Drosophila melanogaster: one gene and its partner. The protein of the gene in region 1 interacts with the protein of each later gene in a pairwise test. Each region holds a gene or a part of one and is shown in the gene's direction. Other genes may lie near its edges. The genes, in order: MP1 and CG42709.

Evidence for each region.
Region 2: the proteins of MP1 (region 1) and CG42709 interact in a two-hybrid assay, tested with the Drosophila melanogaster proteins (one large-scale study listed by BioGRID).

What each region holds. Positions count from the first base shown.
Region 1 is NT_033777.3:4,305,670-4,310,335, forward strand, and holds MP1 (melanization protease 1), read left to right. Parts: upstream 1-2,238; 5' UTR 2,239-2,317; coding exon 2,318-2,387; exon of another isoform or gene 2,388-2,594; coding exon 2,595-2,758; coding exon of another isoform or gene 2,759-2,785; exon of another isoform or gene 2,786-2,920; coding exon 2,921-3,164; exon of another isoform or gene 3,165-3,225; coding exon 3,226-3,950; 3' UTR 3,951-4,166; downstream 4,167-4,666. Other genes in the region: Vps24 (vacuolar protein sorting 24), read right to left, coding at 4,304-4,666. UniProt on the Drosophila melanogaster protein: Serine protease which plays an essential role in the melanization immune response by acting downstream of sp7 to activate prophenoloxidase (PPO1).
Region 2 is NT_037436.4:12,788,530-12,796,191, forward strand, and holds CG42709 (uncharacterized protein), read left to right. Parts: upstream 1-1,662; 5' UTR 1,663-1,853; intron 1,854-2,688; exon of another isoform or gene 2,689-2,905; 5' UTR 2,906-3,051; coding exon 3,052-3,104; intron 3,105-5,286; coding exon 5,287-5,471; intron 5,472-5,532; coding exon 5,533-5,786; intron 5,787-5,851; coding exon 5,852-6,127; intron 6,128-6,267; coding exon 6,268-6,559; intron 6,560-6,633; coding exon 6,634-6,795; intron 6,796-6,928; coding exon 6,929-7,083; 3' UTR 7,084-7,555; downstream 7,556-7,662. Other genes in the region: Atg1 (Autophagy-related 1), read right to left, coding at 12-99.

The sequences.
Region 1 (4,666 bases):
GTCATTCAGGATTATTTAAGATTCGTGCAAAACCAGTAGAGTGACAGACATCATCTTATAAATATTGTAGGAGCGGCCTTTAATTATACAAAGGAAAGACCCCACGTGTCACCGCTAGAACACTTTGCAGTTAGCGAAGTGTGAACAGCGGCGTTTATTAGCCCAAAACCACAACGTCAGGAACGGCAATTCTCTTGCTACCCCGCAGATTCCAATTTAATTTAATACGAGTAGTCAGAAGTTCAGCTCAAAGATAAGCCGGAGGTAACCCCTAATGAAATGCATTGTCAAATGAAATGGTAAAATTGACGACGTCCACTCTTTCTTGAAGTGGGCAACGGCATTAAATCAGCAAACTAATGGCCACTAAGCAAACGATAGGGCGAGAGGCATCTGTTCTGAAGGAAGATGGTAACTGCCAACTGAGGGACTGTTCGCCTAAGTGCTTTTCGTTCGCATCTTGGCCACTCGGCCTTAACTTAAAAGCGCTTGAAACAAATTGAAATCATTTCTTTCTTACTTTTGGCGAAGGCTACATTTACAGCTTATAGCCAATCATCATAATGCCGCGTCTGTTTAAAGTTTTCTGTACATTGCAATTGCAAATTACTACGCTGTCGGAAACGGAAACAGTCTAGATAAAACAATGTCACAATTTTAAAATAATGTCTTATTTTACCAAAACTCGTAAAATGTAAGGATGTAACCCTCACAAATATTCGCTTTCTTCACCAAGATCACTAGCCCTGTCGATATTACCATACCCAACCAAAAGACATAAGAAGTAGAATTATTCGACATAATGCCTTTGCTCTACTCAACGCTTTGTAACCGCCTCACGACAATTTAAAAGCACTTAAAACAATTTCATATATCATTACAAATTGAAGTGGTATGCTTGTATATTTATGAATTTAAATGATTAGAAAAGATTAGAAAATCATGGAAATTAAATTGAATAACAAAGTGACTCCTTGGACGTCCACTTCTGAAACTATATTGGCTTATGGAGTACATAACCTCAGTTCTTTTTATACCAGTTACGCGTAGAGTAAAAGGGTATAATAAATTCTTTGAAAAGTACAAACTACATGTACGCATGGAAGCGTTTCCGACTATATAAAGTATATATATTCTTAATCAGGATCAATAGCCGAGTCGATCAAGCCATGTCCGTCTGTCACAGGCGCAGCGCAAGTTTGTTGTCCCATGTTGCCACACTTTTGAAAAATGTGTTATTTTCCTTGCCACGCCCACTGCAAGTACCTTAAACCGCACATAACTGCCACGCCCACAATTTTGAAAAATTGTTCGATATTTTTTCATAATTTTATTAGTCTTGTAAATTTTCTATTTATTTGGCAAAAAACTTTTTGCCACGCCCTAAAGCAGCTAAAGCCGGTCACGCCCTACTTTTGAACAATTATTAATTTTTTTTTTCTCATTTTATTCCCCAATACCTATTGATATCCCAGAAAAATTATGAAATTTCGCGTTCGCATTCACACTAGCTGAGTAACGGGTATCGGATAGTCGGGGAACTCGCATTCTCTCTTGTTATTTTTCTAACAATACTTAAAAAACTTAAGGTTACTGTATTTCTCTGGAATCTTAACGATAAAATAAGTATAATAGTATAGTAGTACAATCGTTTTAAATACCTATTAATGAAGTTTAGAGAATATATACGAAGTTAGAAAAATTGATTATGGAAACTACTTTAGGATATTTTCCTAAGTTTCTCCTAATTATTTTCAAAGATTTTATGTATCTGGCTACAAAAAAAGATTGGTAATGTTTAATTTTGATATTTTTCAAAATATTCGATTATTATGTTTTACAGAAATTGTTTTTACAGAGGGTTTGCAAATGTTTGAATGTGAAAATTCACTCTCTGTTAATAAAGTGGGTTTGCCAGATTTTTTAATGGATTGGCCCGTATGGACTTACAGATATCGTCCGACCCAAGATATTTCAGCCCTAGGAGAAGAGGGTAAGTATCATCTGCATTCTGTTGGCGTGGGAAGTTCCCTGATGAGCAACGCATAAAGAGCGGACCCAACATTGAGAGCGGGCTTTTTCGCCAGTATGGGTGTGCCCAAAACCAGACCCTGAGATAAACCCAGACTTGCACTCTCTTAATGCTGGTGTGCTTCCTCAGGTTGAACCATTCTCTGTGAGAGAACCGCTGATAAGCTGTAACTTAGAGCTCGATCGCATTCCAGTTTATAGCCACATTCAGTGTGTTCTCGGCAGGCGCTCTGTCAGCGTATCGTTCTTCCAAGTACAGTGCTATAGTACAGTCGAAGATATAACCATGGAACCGCACTTTTTTTTCACCGTACTGTGGATGCTATTGATGGGAACAAGCAGCACTTACGCACAAGGCAAGTGGTTTTGGCTCTCAGTCGTAGTCGGGGGTTGCTGGCATCAAAACACAAAGCAACCTCCTATCAGCGGTGAACTTCACCCCGAGTCGGGCTGAGTCGATGATAGTCACAGTGGGCTGGTCCCAGAACGCAGAAATCCCGTTCCCGCTGTTAATCACGACTATCTTTGAACCGGGCTTTACGATTTACGTTTTTTTTTTTCAGAAATCTTTGGGTATTGTAGAACGCCTGATGAGAACAGCGGCACCTGCATAAACCTCCGGGAATGTGGATACCTATTCGAACTGCTTCAAAGCGAAGAGGTTACGGAACAGGACCGTCGATTTCTGCAAGCCAGCCAATGTGGCTACCGGAATGGACAAGTGCTTGTTAGTACCCCCTTAAAAAGTTGTGGTGCTAAAATCGATTAAGATCATTTTCATCCATTGAACATATATATAAATTAATTCTTTTACTTATGGCTATCGCATCGAATCGCTTTTCGATGCGACGCCACCATGCATTCTTATTATCAACTTTTATCAATTTAGGAAAAACATTTTTGTTTTACCAATGTTCAGATTTGCTGTGCAAACAGCCGAATGCGAAACCAGCAACCTCAGTGGGGAAATCATCCTCAACCTACTCAGACCACTAAGCCTACAAAACGCTCTGGGACCAAACTGTTACCAATGGCGCCCAATTGCGGTGAAAACTTTGGAGACCGAGTGGTGGGTGGTAACGAGACGACAAAGAGGGAGTTTCCTTGGATGGCCCTAATAGAGTACACGAAGCGTGAGTAACCAAAATATTCCCTGCTGCAGGGACTAATCCCCCCCCCCCCCCATTTTACCAGCCGGTAACGTGAAAGGTCACCACTGCGGCGGATCTCTAATCAACCATCGTTACGTTCTGACGGCGGCACACTGCGTCTCGGCTATTCCCAGTGATTGGGAGCTGACGGGAGTACGCCTGGGTGAGTGGGATGCGAGCACCAATCCGGATTGCACAGTCGGTAAAAACGGACGACGGGACTGCAACGAACCGTACGTAGACTACCCTGTTGAGGAGCGTATTCCGCACCCGCAGTACCCGGGAAACTCACGGGACCAGCTAAATGACATTGCGTTGCTGCGATTGCGGGACGAGGTTCAGTACAGCGACTTCATATTACCAGTATGTCTGCCCACTTTAGCGTCCCAGCACAACAATATATTCCTTGGCCGAAAGGTGGTGGTGGCAGGGTGGGGTCGCACGGAGACAAATTTTACGTCCAATATCAAGCTGAAGGCTGAGTTGGATACGGTACCGACGTCCGAATGCAACCAAAGATACGCCACCCAAAGAAGGACTGTCACCACCAAACAGATGTGCGCCGGCGGAGTTGAGGGGGTTGATTCCTGTCGCGGGGACTCGGGTGGCCCCCTTCTGCTCGAGGACTACTCCAATGGAAACTCAAACTACTACATTGCTGGTGTGGTCTCCTACGGACCCACGCCCTGTGGCCTAAAAGGATGGCCCGGCGTGTACACAAGGGTTGAAGCGTATCTGAACTGGATAGAAAACAACGTTAGGGCTTAATCTTAAATGACGAAAATTAACATTCTTAGGGATTGATCGTAAATCGTGCAGATTACCATTGTAAAATGGGACATGCCACAGTAAATATCGATTTTTAATGAAAGGTAGATTTTACAATAAATTAAGTTATCTCGTGTAGATTCAACGGTAAAACGCGCAGAGTTCAACACTTCTTGATCTGGTGTACTGTACACTTATAATATAAAAACTCAATTCAAGTTTCTGGAGATTATTTTGGTTTCTACAATCAAATGACGGCGTGGGGGTTGCCGTTTATGATTTTGATAAGGTCTGCCAGTCAAAATCACTTGCCTTTAATTTCAAATCTAAATAAAATACCCATAGCAGTTGTTTTAAGATCGCAGCGAGGCCAGGCGGCTTTGCATCTCTTGCAGTTCCTCACCCTCCTCATCGTCCTGCTCAGCCTCGACGCGCGCAGCAGACGCAGACGCCTTGTCCGCCGGTGTAGCCTCTGGAGGCAGGGGAGCTTCCCCGAGCTTGCCATCTGTGATCTCCCACAAAACCTTGTCCACCTCCTTGCTTGCCTCCTCCTCCAGCTCCTCGGACTCCTCCAGCGAGTCCATGGTCTCGTCTAGCATCTCCTCAATAATGCCGGCCTTCATCATTTCCTTTGACATGTCGCGCATGATGCCTGCAAGCTCTGGATAGCGCACCAGGCTCTGCATAGCTTGCAAGACCTCTGTAGACTTTTGCAG
Region 2 (7,662 bases), on another chromosome or scaffold:
TCGAATCTCACCTAGTTGCACGAGGAAGAGTCTAACGGTATCCTCGCTGAGCGTCCCCTTGACACTCAGATAATCCGCCAAGTCGCCGCCATTGCAATACTGTAAAGAGAAAGGATGAAGAGCGTGAGTGGAGCTGATTGGGAAATTAAATTAAGAGAGACCCCCACGAGTCAAGAGTTCAGCGCGCATATAAATCTTCTGGGACCCCAAAAGACCTCAAAAGCAGAATGCAACCCATGCAAACGAATTAAGTCCAATCAGTGCGAAAATGAAAGAGTCCCGAGATTTGATTCAGTCGGTCTTTCCATCTTTTAGCTTCCAGCTGCTCGCTCGACTTTTGTGCAAATCCCAGTCAATCATAGAAAACGGCAAGGTCAAAGCGAATATGATTTATGGCAATTTTCTGAATCAAGAACTGGAATTAGGGAAATATGTTTATGGATCAGCCCAGACAGCCAGCTGCTTTTCTTTTGTCGTTTGCCCAACAAAGGTTCTGTTCCGGTTTATGTCAGCAGATGCGGAGAAAGAGTTGGGGTAAAAATAAGCTATAGAATATTGAATATGCTAGGGGAATTTACACTTGGAATTTTAAATACACTTCCATGTAATCTTTAATCTTTGAAGTAAAGCACCAGTTAGGTTTTTTAAAAATGCCCGTTCACTGCAGTGATTTTTCCATACTCATTTGAGAATAATTAATAATTTTCTCTTTTAATATATAATATAATATAATATTATAATAATAAGCCATTGATAAAGTATATGATAGTGAATGCTAAACAAAAGGCAACAAAATGTTCAAATAAAATATAAACCTCTAAGCATTCGAAAACAGCAAAAAGGAATATCAGTTATCATGAAGAAGTTTTTGAAAAACTTGAAAATGAAAATAGAATATCCCGATATGGGAGAACTTTGTAAGCAGCCCTCGCTAAAATGTAAATGAAGAGAACGAACCCCTGTCTCTCCAAAATGCCGTTATATTTTTGGCCTGAGCAAGTTGCCTAAAAGGATTTGCGATTTTTGACCTTGAGGCCGCCAATCGAAGACATGACTATAGAATTCCACACGAACACAACCACCAAAAACCAACAAAAGTAATGTGCGCGGCGAACATTTTTATCCGCTTTTATGGATTTTTTGTTTTTCATGAGAAAATATATGGACCACTTACAGTTTAATGAGCAAACAAAGCAACATTAGGCAATTAAACAGCCAATTTGAAATGACAAAAGATTTCACTGCACTCGCTTTTTGTGAAATCGCTAAAATCGCCGAAGAGAAGCGAAGAGCGAAGAACATTAAACAAAAAGTCATTGACATGTAAAGTACATAAACATAAACATAAAAGTAAAAGTTTGAAGGAAATGGTGGAATACTCGCAACGAAGAGGGTTTTTCTTCCTCTGGGGCTTTTTAACAATTTCTAAATTATATGCAATGCCATTTCCCGGCAACAAGTGCCCATGAGTCAGCGATTTATTGAAAAATGCACTTGCGTAATTAATGGGCTTCTCTGTTTTTTCTTTCTTTTTTAAATATTATTTTGAAGAATCAAGTGTGAAGAGAGCGATTCGAAAGCTAAGAGAAGACTCTCTTCAGCCGCTCTATTTCAACTTACTCAATTTTTAAGCTCGCAACTTCTGCGGTTCCGTTCGCAGCTCATTCTCAAATCGACGGTGGCATGAGTCGCACGTTATCGCGCGACAACAAAAAGCCAAGTTAGCAAATCATTAAGTATAATTTAAACGCGATACTCCTCCATTCAGTAGAATTCGATGAGAAAACTCTCTAGTGTAATACCCAATTTAGTACATATATTATCGAGAAAAACGACGACGCGTGTCATTCGAAGTAAGCGCAGTGGACTAAAGGTCAACATATTCTAGGCGATAAAAAGAACGCTGCTGCTATACATTGTTCATCGCAATCACAACACAAAGACCTAGAAACGGGATTAAAACAAGAGTTTAACTTAGCACTCGGTGAAACAAATATTCAAACAAACTTTTCACTCAAATCACGTCCAATTTAATCGCTATGATTCAGCCAGCCAAGTGTTTCACATTTTTCCAGCAAATTATGTAAATAAACTGTGAAAGCTTCCCTTTTTTCATATCAAAAGGCGGGCCGACCGACTTATAAGTCAAGTCCAAAGCAAAGTTCATTACGATCGGCGTTAATTCTAATCAGACAAGTGTGTAATTAATTTTATTAATATTACAAGCCGTCCTAAAGATTTCTTTGTACTTCCAAATCTGCTGCTTAAGTTATTATGTTGAAAATATGGCAATTGAAATTTTAATTTCTAATGTGATGTAATGCTTATTAATTAAGATAGGATTACCCAAACCGATTAGCCTTTATTTACGGTGCTTAAAGTGTGAGTTTGCTCTTTCTGTTTTCATTGAAAACATGAATTCCATAATTGTTACTATTGATAATAATCGATTAGTAAGTCAGAAGTTGGTTAAAAGCTAAGCAGAAATCGCGAGGGTATGAGACAAAGCAATTAAATATTAAAAACTGATAAGATAACCACGGCTAAACATTAAACTTAACATGAGAGAGTTTGGAAGAGAGAGTGAGAGTAAAGAAAAAGAGATAATATTTGCCGCTCTTCGAAGCTCTCACACACACACCTGTTCAGTCAGTCGAACGGAATGGGAATTGTTGGCGAATTTTTGCTCATTCGAGAATCGGCAGCGAGTGGAAAAGTTTGTGCGAGCGGAGTGAAAAATAATTATTTTACTTTTGCCAAAAGTAAGCCGGCAAATGTAAATGGACATTAATCAACTTTGAAGCTGTAATTTCAAAGCAAAACAGATGAATATTAAAAGTGCAAAGTGAAACGAGAATAGCGGTGCAAAAATAGGCCCCTAACACCTAATAAAATCTATTTTCAGCTTGAAAATTTTCACATCAAGTTTGGCAAAAACGACGAAAATGCTATGAAAACCCTGAGATAAACACAAATACAAACAACACGACGCCTTGAAGACGCAGTGAAAACAAAGCTAAACAAATATCAGTAAACAAATAATTCATAATAATGCACGTGTACTACAAGTTTGGATTACTGCTGATATTTTTGCTAAGCGTGAGGTAAAAATCAAGTTGTAATAAATATTTACAGATCTCGATATGTGGAGAAATCACATTTGTTATTCTTATGGGGCTGGAAAATAAGTAATCCATTTATTTATAGAAATCAGTAGACCCTTTCCTAAAAACGAAAAACAGGGAAGACACGGGGCAAAGTTTCCGTTTAGCAACATTCGCAGTGATTAATTCACTAAAAACGAAATAACGACAGGTGAACCAGGGTAACGGGACTTTGACCCGCCCACAACTGAGATATCAATGCCAAATGGAATACTCACGCATGGGGTTATAAAAAAAAAACAGCAACATTTTATTGATAGTCCACGGCAACCGCTCTTAATTGCCGCCTTTAATATATATATAAGGTGCACGAATTTACACTCTACTTAATCATATCGCATAATCTGGTTCTGATAAAAATAATAACAATTCCCCGGTTGTCCGATAATTTATACCGTTATTGCTTATCAAATTGTTTGCTCAGCGTTTTGAATTTCTCAACCAATATCTCAAGCAATATTGCAAATGACATAGAAATTTATAACTGTCTCGATTTTCAGATTTTTCTTTTAATTTACAACTGAAACGAGGTTTAGACATTATCGATTATGTATAAATATTCTATATTCTTGCCCTAAAAAAAATCTTTTTAAATACTTCTGAGTTTTAAAACCTAAGATAAAATTCTTTAATCGTTCTTTGCATGTTAGTACTAGTATAATTTTCCCAGTGCACATAAGCCCATTTCTCTATTGATTTTTGGGCCTTTTTAAACCTTTTCAGCCACTCGAAATCAAATGTCAAAGTAGAGTGCTTTTAAGTGCGACGCTTCCAATTTTAGTCACTTCATTCAAGTAGTCAAGGGAATTACGTCGACTAGGTCGTCATGCTTAGTAACAGTTTAGAGATCTTTCGTAATACCCATTAACTTCGGCGAGCAGCTGAAGCTTGAAGGCAATTCGTAACGTTCGATAAATATATCTTTATTATCCGGTAGGACTATATACCAATTAATAGCTACATATCAGCACTTGCGGTTCAAGTACTCGACTCTATAAAGTCGTTCATTCTGTTCATTTTGGCACTTTTAAGGATTGACAAGGCTCCTCAGCAGCATTCATTGAAACTTCACTCAAAAGTCACGCAATTGAAGAGAACTCTACATGGCAGTCAAAAGACTCACTTGAACTACTCTACTAGCCAATTTACACCTTTTTTTCTAAAAGTAAATACAACCCACTAGAACTGAAGTCGCCGAATGCACGGATAACGAACGATTTAGAATCAGACAAAAAAAAAAATGAAGAGGGGTCACAAATGACAGCAAAAAAATAAAATAAATCTGAAAAAAGTGAGAGTAAACGAAATCGTAAACTAAAACCGGTCGAGTTGTCTCTTTTGCCATGAAGTAAACTGGTTTCATCTGTGCTTTTTACTGAGTAGCTACAGTACGTTTCGAAAATGTAAGGTCAGTTAACAGAAACAAATAAACAACTTTACAGACAATAAAAGTGCTTGAGTTACAATAAAAGAAATGTGTGCTTTCTTTATTTTCTTTAGCTTGAAAGTATATCTATTTGATTTTACTTTATTCTTAAAAAACGAAAGGCAAAATATATTTTACAATATATGCATAATCTAATGAATTGCATTAAGAAGCCTTGTATCATTGAATACTTTTAATTCATTTAAGGGCTATTGCTGTGACCACGACTGTAGCGAGAAATACTTTGTATGTAGGCTTGTTCGCACATGTGAGTGTATTCATTCATGTTCTTTCGCGGAGCAAACATAAACAATAGCCGTATAATGATAGTGGGGAAAACGAATGTTTCTGTGTGGCTATGGCGTGGTCATAACGATATGGGTCAAGAGCGTTTTCAGGACAAATTAGCTAGGTGTGTTCGCCTTCAAGACGTGAGTGATGTAAGCACGTACCGCTTAGAACCCACCGACAATCTAAAGCCAAATATTGACAATTTTGGGTATTTGGTAAAACCACTTAACGAATTCGTACAGTAATTGCTCTATCAGAAATGCGCATTCGTTTGACATATAATTGCCCTGCGTTTTTCTTCATAAGCAATGTGAATTCGTTTATAAGTCGTGGAAAAAACCAAATTGGTATATTGTTGGTTTATTCAGTCGAGACCGGAAAATAATTTAATGATTACTCTTACAGCATCAGCCACACAAATGCCGCTCCAGCGGGCAGTGAGGAGGCAAATCCCCTCGAGGACTTTAATTACGGCGATGATGACTACAGTGAAACAGCGACGGGCGAGGAATCGCCGGAGACAGCAGAAAATAGACTGATGCCACAATCATCCTCCACATCGACCACCACCACATTTCGACCAATATTTAGTGAGCATAACATAAATCTATATATTCCGAACTGAAAAGGCTAATGAATATCGTTTTGCAGATATACCACGACGCAGCAACCATGTCCTGGAGCCCAGTTGCCCGCGCAACTGCCTCTGCCTGGAGGACTTCAAGTTCGTTCAGTGTGCCAATGCCCATTTGACCCATGTACCCCTGGACATGCCCAAAACGGCGGCCATCATCGATCTGAGCCATAATGTGATTGCCGAACTGAGGCCGGAGGATTTTGCCAATCTGTCCAGGGCGGTGGAAATCAATTTGAATCACAATCTGATCAGCAGCATAGACAAGGATGTAAGTGCCCAGCTAATTCTACTAATTAGATAAATTGTAACTAATGTGCTTATTATCTATTGTAGGTCTTTCAGGGATCGGAGCGTTTGAAGCGCCTGCGGCTGGCCAACAACCGTCTAACCAAAATCGATCCCGACACCTTTGCGGCGGCCAAGGAACTAACGCTACTCGATTTGAGCAACAACACCATAACCCAGCGCCTGGACGGATCCTTCTTGAACCAGCCCGACTTGGTGGAGTTCAGCTGCGTCAACTGCAGCTGGACGGAACTGCCGGAACAGACGTTCCAGAACATGAGTGGCCTGGAGGTGTTGCGCTTGAACAAGAACGATTTTAAACAGGTAAGAATGGCGAGCCAAAAGTGCGATAGCACAAGTTATCGCTCTATCGATAGTTGGCGCAACTGAAGCCAAAACAGCTGTGTTTGCCATCGCGCAGTTGTCTATATAGTTGTCCCGCTCACGCTTTTCCATTCCGACAGCAAATCAATACGAAAGCTTTCTCGCCGCTAACAAAAATAATTAAACTGAAGCTGCCGGAACTGGAACAACAGAACATCGAGGAGCTGTGCAGCCTGCTGACCTCCATCGACACGATTAGCTTCCTCAACTACGACATCAGCTGCTACGAATTCGTACTGGGCACCCCCTTCAACGGCAGTCTCATCTATCCCACGGAGCCGCCGCTCAAGGGGATTACAAATCCGCCCATCGTCGCCAGCATCACCAGCACTGCAAAGCCAGTGACCGCCACACCCGCACCGCCCAGAAGTGGTGAGCTATTTCCCATGACTCGTAGATCATCTTGCTAACGTGTCTGTTGCTCACCTCCCATTGTTCGCATTTAGCCAATCGCAATCGGGGCAAAATGGACAACAGCACGGAGCTGGTCAAAGCCGGAATCCTGAGCTCCGAGACCAGCACAAGCGGAGTCAGCGTGGAGCCGCCTGCCGAGAGCCAGACCAATCAGGTGCAGATCTCCCAGGAGGCCATCAACACGCTGCTCATCTGTGAGTACAAACTGCGGTTTAAGGTTTATAACATCAACTATTTTAAGCATCTTGCTAAACAGTTATAGTTTGAGTTATACACCTTTTACTTGCGGTACAAAACCAGACTAATTTGTTCAATTTAATCCACTAGGCATCATGGTTCTGGCCGTGATTGGCATCGTCATCGGACTCATTTGCCGCCAGGATATTGGCGGCATCAAAACCAAATGCTGCCGCACTAGCAAACCAGAGCCAAAGGATCAGGTTCATCCCACTGAGGAGATACCACTGAATAAGCTAGCCTAAGAAAACTTTCCAAAACAAACCGAAACCAAACGATCGAAGATGAAAAGAGAATCCTATCCTTCTCCTCCAGTTTCGAGAACAAATTCCATTTTGACGGCATTTTTGATAGATTATAAATAGGTATATGTATATCACGTATGTATATGGCTAGTTAGTTAACTACTTTGACGCGGTATCTAGCCTAACTATATAGTCTCTCCTACAATGTTTCCCGCACAACAACTGAACCGAATCCGTTGTTAGATTCTAGTTGTTAGTCGGAGTAGGTTAAGCCGCCTAGTCGCTTAGCGTTCTGTTCTTTAGGGGGACTCGGTAAATGGGATCCCGCACCAAAACTCCTGGCACTGTTCTAGTTTTAGATCCCAAAATCAATTTTCATCGCAACACTTAAATTAATGTAAACCCATAGATACACTAGTTGTTAGCTTTAGACTTTTGCCAAAATACAATAAAAGTAATTATTGTACATAGTAAAAAAAAAGAAAACCATTGTTTTGAATTATGAAACCAAAAGATTAAAAAGATTACATCTGATAGACTTGATTATTTACCTATATACTCTCCTCATATCACATTCCT